Linked DNA regions of Nothobranchius furzeri. The protein of the gene in region 2 purifies or fractionates together with the protein of the main gene of each other region. This does not show direct contact. Links are inferred from orthologs where the notes say so. Each region holds a gene or a part of one and is shown on either strand. Other genes may lie near its edges. The genes, in order: uba6 and usp48.

Region 1 (3,822 bases), on a different chromosome or scaffold from region 2:
ATCTTGACACCTGAGAGAATCTTTGACACCGCCTCTTCAGAAAGATCCTGATGAACAGAATAGCCATGCAAGAGGTCATTGTGTGTGTGCGTGCGTGCGTGTGTGTGTGTGTGAGGCCTACCTTCACGGAGTAAGAGATGTTATAAATGTCTGCAAAGAGCCGTGCAGTGCTGATGATGAAGCTGAAGTGCCTGACGGGAGCAGAGAAGGTTTTGTACATTTGAATGATAACTGCGCGCGTGTGTGTGTGTGTGTGTGTGTGTGTGTGTGTGTGTGTGTGTGTGTGTGTGTGTGTGTGTGTGTGTGTGTGTGTGTGTGTGTGTGTGTGCATAAAACACAAACCAACACAAGAACAAACTCACAACGGGTCCTTCAAGTCGAACTCAATCGGTGTTGGGGGTCTTTTTGGGGACTGCCAAAACAAACCTAAACAGATAAAGTCAGGATGACGTTTGTGGCACAACTGATGTTGTTTAGAAGCTGCTGACCAACTTCATAAGAACTTACTTCCATCTTTTAGTCTCGTCTCCAGAGGGAAAGAGTGCAGCAGCTGTTGGCCCTACATGAGCAGCACATATAAACAACCCATAAGGCCTGAAGCTCATCACTATGGTTGCTATATAAAGGTAGAAAGTAGTACCTTTCTTTTGAAATACTTCTCAAACTTCAGACGGGCTGCAGCGATGCACTGTTCCCAATGACTGGGCCGTCGACTCAGCAGCTTAATGACCTGGAATGACCCCTCCAGACTTTCCCCAGCCTGCATCCTCTGCATGAACACAGACAGATTTTAAAGGCGTGCTACATGAAGAACACGCGTTTCCTGGTGAAACTCACATGGAGCACCGCTTCAGCTGAAGGGTGCATCTGCCAGAAAGCGTTGTACATGGAGGGCTTGTGGACAAACGCACTCTCAAACTAGACCACAACCAAAGAAACAAATATCAAGTTACTAGGACTCCTAACTATGTGCAGTATGGAAAGAATGATTATTGAGGCAGCGACACCTTATCTCTAGCCCACTGGATGGTGTGCTCTATAACGGAGGGAAAAGACTTGAGAGTGCAGAATGGGATCTCCTCTTCTGGAGGGTCCCTCTGGGAGGCAGAAGGATGGAGATTTTAGAGTAGAGGGGGAATTATTAATTATTAATTAAGCTATTTTAGAGAATTAAACCAAAACAACTTTTTCCATGAACTCACATGGCTGTTGTAAGACTCGGTCAAGTTTGGCACAATGATCTCAGTGTGTCCTTTAGTTCCCATGGTACCCGAGTCTAGAAGAGGTCTCTGATTGGACACACAGCGGCTGAAAAAAACAAACAAAAACAAAACACATCTGCATTGAATTAAGTATACGTGTGGTATGTGCATGTATATGTAACCTAAAACTTGTCGGGAGCAAAGTTTATCCCACGTGAGTGATCAGTTTTTGAACTGGACTGTAGAAGGTGTAAGAGACCCACCACCCAAAGATAAGAAGTTCTGAAGGTCTGTCCCCATCTTCTTACCCAACATTGCAACGTGCACTACAAATTAGGGGTGCTCCGACTGATCGGTAGCGGTGATCGGCAGATTAAAACCTGATCGGAGCATCCTCTCTTTTAAGTGGAGCTTGCATCTACACAGTGTCTTCACACACCTGTCCACGTATCTCCTCGCCTCCACATTGTCCAGCGCAGTGACCACGATGTTCATCGTGGAGTAGAAGGAGTCGTTGTAAATGTTCTCAGTAGCTGGACACACCTTGTGCAGGTGAGCCTCCACCTGCAGCTCTGGGTTGATCTCCCGCGTGGCTTCTGCTGCGGTCGTACTTTTTGGCTTCTAAACGCAGACGACAGGAAAATCAGATGCTCGATCTGATTCGACTCGTGTAACAGCCAGAACTAAAGCATCGACTCGCCTGGATGTGATGGGGTCTGAAGAGAAACTGCCTGTTGAGGTTTGACTTCTCTATGAGGTCTGGGTCAGTGATGCACACCTGAGAAGGTCACACACACACACACGCACGCACACACACACAGCAGTAAACACCAAAAACGGGTCAAACTGCAGGAAGAAGCTGAGGAAGACGTGCACACCTCCCCAGAGCTGCTGGCCAATCCCACACCAAGGAGAGCAAAGTTTTTAAGCATCTCACAACCGATGGCACCACAACCGACCTTAAAAAAAGAAAACAACGACGTTTATTTAGACACAATTGAACAGAGGTGTTTCATATGCAGATAAAGTCCAGTTCCTACCATAAAGACCCTGAGCTTGTGTAGATCAAGACACATGGATTCACCAATACAAGCTCTCAATCCGTCATATCGATCGCCTCGTGGAAAAAACTCCTCAGAGGGAAGAGACTGGAGAGGCCTGACGAGCTCCAAGGTGTCCAGATAAAACTAAACACACGAGAAACGGTTTGGGAGAGATCAGATCATTACAAGTGGGAGAAAACCCACCGATGTGCTACGTTTCAACGCTCTGACAGAACCCTACCCATTGCTGCAGAGGTGCAAACTTCCCTGTGATAGCCTTTAGAACTTCCTGACTGGCTATTCCTCCCACAGCTGCAGCTAACGGAGCCAGAGTTCCTCTGGCGGTCCTGGACAAACATCGCACCAGCTCAGAGTTTACAGGAGCCTGCGAGGGAGAGAGGCAATCAAAGGGTGTGAAGCTGGATCAACAGTGTGAAAACAAACCTGCTGACCACTAAGATGTCTTACACCTAAAGTAGGAGTAGTCTTATATTCAAATGCATACATTACATGTAACTGTATTTATTATAAAGCTACTGGACGGTTCTGACTATAATCTAGGAAGCATCATGTTCATTCTGAAAATCCAACATTCACCCCTAAAACCAACAGCTACAAAAGAAGGAATAAAATACTCACCTTGTTTTTAAGGGTGGTGTTCACCTCCTCAGTCAGCTTTAATAAAGTATCAGCATCCTGTAAACACCTGAAAACAGCAGAAACGTTCAGGAAGTCCCTCCTCTCATCCATCCATCACCTGCTTCACTCCGATAAAGCACACGGGCTAGTTCTGTTTACCCGACGTTGGGGAGTCTGCAGAGCTGCTCCTGAAATCGGTCCAGAGCCAACATGGCGGCATGGATCTGTAGCGGGGCCTGATGGGTGGATTTAAAACAACAATGTGACACTAACTAAAGGATTTGGATGTTTAATCAGAGTATGCAACTATAATTACTTTAGTTATCTGGTTAAACTGGTCTTAACTCGCCACTGGACAAAAGCAAATCTGACACTCTTACTGTTAAACACACATTCAATTATGAAGGGCATCAAGTGACCGTATGGATAACTGATCTGCTGCTGTGAAAAGCTCTCAGGTTTAGTTTAGCATGTTAATACAGCCGATTACACACGCCAGAAAATCCAGCATTAATCCATCAGGTTAGATCAGAAGGCTGTGTGAACATAACCTGGCCTAGCCCGGTCTTGGTAGCACGGCCAGGTTCCTTTCACTCAGCCTTCTCGAGAACGCGGAAATGTCAGAGTATGTGGGCGGGGCCAAAGATGTGCAGAGACATCAGTGGTGTCACCCTTAGACTAAGGAGCCTGTGTGCAATGTTGCTTTTGGGGACACCGACTTAAGGTTGCAGGGATTAACCGGTTTGACTGTTAACCCCGGTTACCCCCCCCAAAGACATCTCCAACTCCGCCTATTAAGAAAACAACAAAAAGACAACATTGCGACCCGCACCGACCAAAACAAAGGTGAAACTGAGGAACTGCTTCATTTCCATCTAGGAAGCGGTTCAAGTCTCCTGTGTGGGAATGTTTTAGATATATTAGATTTATTCCCACAA
Region 2 (4,313 bases):
GCTCCAGGCCTTTATTGGAAGGAGGACCAGAATTAGAGGCAGGCCTCTATTTCTATTTGAGCAAAATGAGCTAATGGTTCGCTGGAGTTTTTGACAATTAAAATTGCGCCCACATTTTCAAAGTTAAACACATTTCTTTTAACAACGGTAGTTTCTGCTTCAGCCCTCTCCCCCCTCCCCCTGCGCAGCGGCAGCAAACTCACTGATGTGCCTGCAGCCTCTCAGAGTTCCTGCTGCTCTAAACATTAAAATAATTATTTCATTTTCTGTTCCTCACCTCTGATTACCGTCCATGGTGTATGTTTGTTGCAACCACCAGGTACAAAAACTAACGTGTTTTTATTTGACTATTTTTCTGTCCTGCCTGTTTATTATCTTCCTGCATCTCCTCTCAATCCTAAAGAAAAACTGCTACCTGGGTTCATTTATATTCACCTTATGAGTTACCTTTGAACTGCAGTTCTAAAAGATCTACCGACCGCAAAAACAGCGGAGTGCTCGCTGCTTGCCGGCCGCATCAGTGATCGGTGCGTCACCGGAGGACAAGGTGATGTGCCCCGCTCCACAGTGAAATGCATCAGGTGCAAATAAAAAACAGAAAACATAAAAGGAAATGAACCGATATGAACAATCGCGTGTTAAATTAGTTTTTGAGGTGGCGACACCTAATTTGATAATGTTACTGTGGCCGTGCTCAGGACGCAGATCTACCGTCCGCAAAAACAGCGGAGTGCTCGCTGCTTGGCGGCCGCATCAGTGATCGGTTCGTCACCGGAGGACAAGGTGATGCGCCCCGCTCCACAGCAGCGAAACACATCAGGCGCAAATAAAAGACAGAAAACATTAAAGGAAATGAACCGACATGAACGATCGCGTGTCAGTACCGACGCTCTGGCACAGCGTGTTGCCCCCCCCCCCCCCCCCCCCCCCCGATGCGCAGGAGCTTGTCACCTGCTGACAGCAGGCTGCTGTCTTTTCCGAGGGCTGCATCTTGCCGGTCATTATCACGTGACAGCGACTAGTCGATGACAGGCATAAAAAGTCACTATAGTGAAGTCGACTAGTCACTAGTTCATACAACCCCTACTGCTCCCCAGTGTTCTGCAGCATAATCAGCACGTTCTCTTTGAACTTGATATCAAATTTTCGCCTCCTCTTCGTCTCCGCATGGTTAAAGTTACCCTCGCGGTCTATCACTGGCAAATCAAAAGTGAGACGATGACACAACCGCCCCCCGTACTTGCTTGTTACCACATTCCACCCGGCCACAATAAGAGACCGGCCATTATTCACCTCCGCCGACTCCGACACCGGCCAAAATATGAGACCCAGCCGTTAATTGAATACAGGCCTGTATTAGAGGATTTACGGTATATATATATATATATAGATATATATATATCTATCTATATATATATATATATATATATATATATATATATATGGATAGATATATATATATATACATATATAGTACAACTAAAGCTACTAAAATTAAAATGACTAGTGTAACGTGGAATTTGCCTTTGGTTCTCTCTGAAAATCCACGTATCTGAGGTGGATGCTGTTAATTCTTGGGGTTAAAACCTGGAAAAAGTCACAACAAAGGTCACACCCAGATACAGTTGTAGTTATACCAGATTGAATGTTGTGTTCCTCTGCTCGGGAATTGTGGAACTGGTAAAGGCTTCTTCGAAGCTCCAAGTTATGGAACCATACTTGCAGGAATGTGTTGACGTAGCATGTTGCTCCAAGGTTGGTCAGACCAACAAAGGTGTTCTATAAAGACACACAGACAGACAGGGAGAATTAAGGTATCAGCTCTAGTCTAGATGATAGAACAATGGTGGTATTAACACCTAAGAAACACTAGCTGAGTGAGCAGATAGTAGAAAGAAGTACCTTGTCCCGCCGTTCTGAATTTGGATCATCAATATTATGGAAAACGTTTTCATCTATCTCCCCAAGCCATGCCTGTTCACCAATTCCAACAAGACAGTTGGGATTCCCTCTGCAATTCCTCCTAGGGGAAAATGAGTCCTGGTCATCATAGCCACTTTAAACAAGGCTTCTGTTTCAAAAGGATGTGGTACTGAAGCACCACGGTGCTAAACAACAGCACAGCACTGCAGCACATAAACGTGGCACTTCTAACTTTTTTTACTGTTTATGAGGCTGCCAGTAAGCATTAGGCAGTGCTGTCAGCACCACAACTGAAAACCGAGGCTAGTGTCTTTGCAGCGTTATAAGAGGCTGGTCACTGAAATGGTCAATAATGTGTTTTTGCTGGCAGCGAAGCGCAACGATCGTGTTAAAAATGTTAAAGTACCTGCAGGCTCCTCTCTTGCAGGCCGGGAGGTTGATGCGGTATGCTAGCTCTATGTGTTCTTGCTTGATTTCTTCTGGTTTTACCGATTCCACCCAACGCCAAGCCGCTTTCTCCAGTTGTACGCGAGGTGCCATTATCCCACGATGCAAACTTTACTATAGTCACAAATAATAAACAATGGCAAGAAAGCAAATGACTACAGCAGTCCGAGCTGTTCCCAAACAATGCTAGCATAGCCAACTAGCCAAAGCTAAATGAGCACATACGACCGTTAATAGCCACTCTTCACTGGGATGCTAAGCTAAAAACTGGCTTCGTATGACTCTTATTGAATTGAGAATTAAAACAGGCACCACTTGCCGCAACACATTCAACACAACAATTTTGCGTTCTGCGATCTTTTCTTCGTGGAAAGTAGTAAACTGCTCGAAATCGCTAATATTTAGCTAGCTACACCGGTTAAGCTAACGTGTCATTTAGCCTAATTTAGCCAAGGGCTTACTTTGTTTACGTAAACTGACGCACACCTAACACATTTATTGTGCTGAAGACAAATGGAATCGGACCTATTATGTGTGTAACTTCATCAATATGATCTTAGAAGTCCACATTTTATTTGCAGCTTATTTGAGATTTAGCGCCCTTACGTCAAGTTATAAATAAATAAACTCTCGGTTCTAAATCAACACGACGTGAACGAGTGACGCAGGACACGTTCTGCAGCGGAAGCCCTCGCCCCCTACGCTCTGAAGCTCCTTTTATTTATTTATTTATTTATTCATTCATTCATTTCGTCAGCACTTTTTTATTTTATTATTATTTTTTATTCATTTAGACATTTGAATAACAAACATACATGGCATTGTAGAATATAGAAAGGGTATAAACATTCCACATCTTGTAATAACAAGTTGAACAAGTTATGTATACTTAAACAAAAAGGTATACTTTAGGAGAAAACAGATTAACAAAATAACTGGATAAAAATTTGAAATAAAAATAAATAAATAAATAAAATGCTCAAGGTACAAATAAACAAGTAAAACAAGTGAAATTATACATTCGGCACAGCTCTAGTGTTTTACACGCTTTGGAGTTAGTACTGTTATTAAGATTCTTCAGATAATTGGAAAACAGGGCTTTAAAAGCAAATATGTTTGGACGCTGTTGAGAGAATTTTGTACAATGTATGTGAAATTTGGCAAAAATGATCAGAAGATTAATAATATTTTTTTTTCCTGAAATAATTTTATCGGTATGTGAGAGGCCAAATAGAATATGGTGAAACTTCAATTTACAAGAGGGATCAATTTTGGTGTTTATAAAATTATTTAGATCAATTCAAAATACATGTGTATAAGTGCATTCCCAAAATAAATGACATATTGTTTCCTCTGCATTGCTGCAAAAAGTACAAAGAGTATCAATATTTTTCTTACGTTTAACCAGATATGTCTTTACCGGATAACATCTGTGGATCAACTTAAAAGAAACCTCTCTTATCTTATTAGTTATAATAAATTTTCTTGGTAGAATCCAAGTGTTTTTCCAGTCTATATCATTGTAAATATTGTTCCAGTAAAATACAGCTGCATGTTTGGAAACAATATCTCTTTGAATGATTTGTCTAATACATTGATTTGTGGCTTTATCCCTCAATAAAGGACATATGTTACCGATGAATATGCTACCGGGATTTAGTTCTGGAATAATACAATTTCTACCCTTAGGAGCATACACACACTCTGAAGCTCCTACCAGCAATTGACCCTTTGCACGTGACGTCACGCCACTCATGTGACCTCCCCCTTCACCATGATGGACGGCAAAAAGATTGTTTACACCCGTTGAAACTGCAGTAAAGCTAGTCAAAACAAGCTAGTTTGTAGCCTTTTATCGCTTTTATTTAGTTGATTTGATAGTAAAATGGTTTTAGCTTGCTGTGTTGTTGGCTGCACTAACAGACAAGGATGTAAACTCAACT

The links.
Region 1: the proteins of usp48 (region 2) and uba6 fractionate together in Homo sapiens (co-fractionation; 3 studies listed by BioGRID, with this or other methods). This does not show direct contact. The link is inferred for Nothobranchius furzeri from reciprocal best matches to the Homo sapiens genes USP48 and UBA6.

What each region holds. Positions count from the first base shown.
Region 1 is NC_091747.1:78,737,435-78,741,256, reverse strand, and holds part of uba6 (ubiquitin-like modifier-activating enzyme 6), read right to left. Parts: intron 3,121-3,822; coding exon 3,044-3,120; intron 2,952-3,043; coding exon 2,885-2,951; intron 2,631-2,884; coding exon 2,487-2,630; intron 2,390-2,486; coding exon 2,243-2,389; intron 2,162-2,242; coding exon 2,081-2,161; intron 1,981-2,080; coding exon 1,903-1,980; intron 1,824-1,902; coding exon 1,642-1,823; intron 1,309-1,641; coding exon 1,203-1,308; intron 1,098-1,202; coding exon 1,008-1,097; intron 919-1,007; coding exon 838-918; intron 770-837; coding exon 641-769; intron 560-640; coding exon 508-559; intron 427-507; coding exon 363-426; intron 192-362; coding exon 122-191; intron 48-121; coding exon 1-47. UniProt on the Homo sapiens protein: Activates ubiquitin by first adenylating its C-terminal glycine residue with ATP, and thereafter linking this residue to the side chain of a cysteine residue in E1, yielding a ubiquitin-E1 thioester and free AMP.
Region 2 is NC_091743.1:4,791,229-4,795,541, forward strand, and holds the start of usp48 (ubiquitin carboxyl-terminal hydrolase 48), read right to left. Parts: upstream 2,979-4,313; 5' UTR 2,464-2,978; coding exon 2,330-2,463; intron 2,024-2,329; coding exon 1,903-2,023; intron 1,780-1,902; coding exon 1,638-1,779; intron 1-1,637.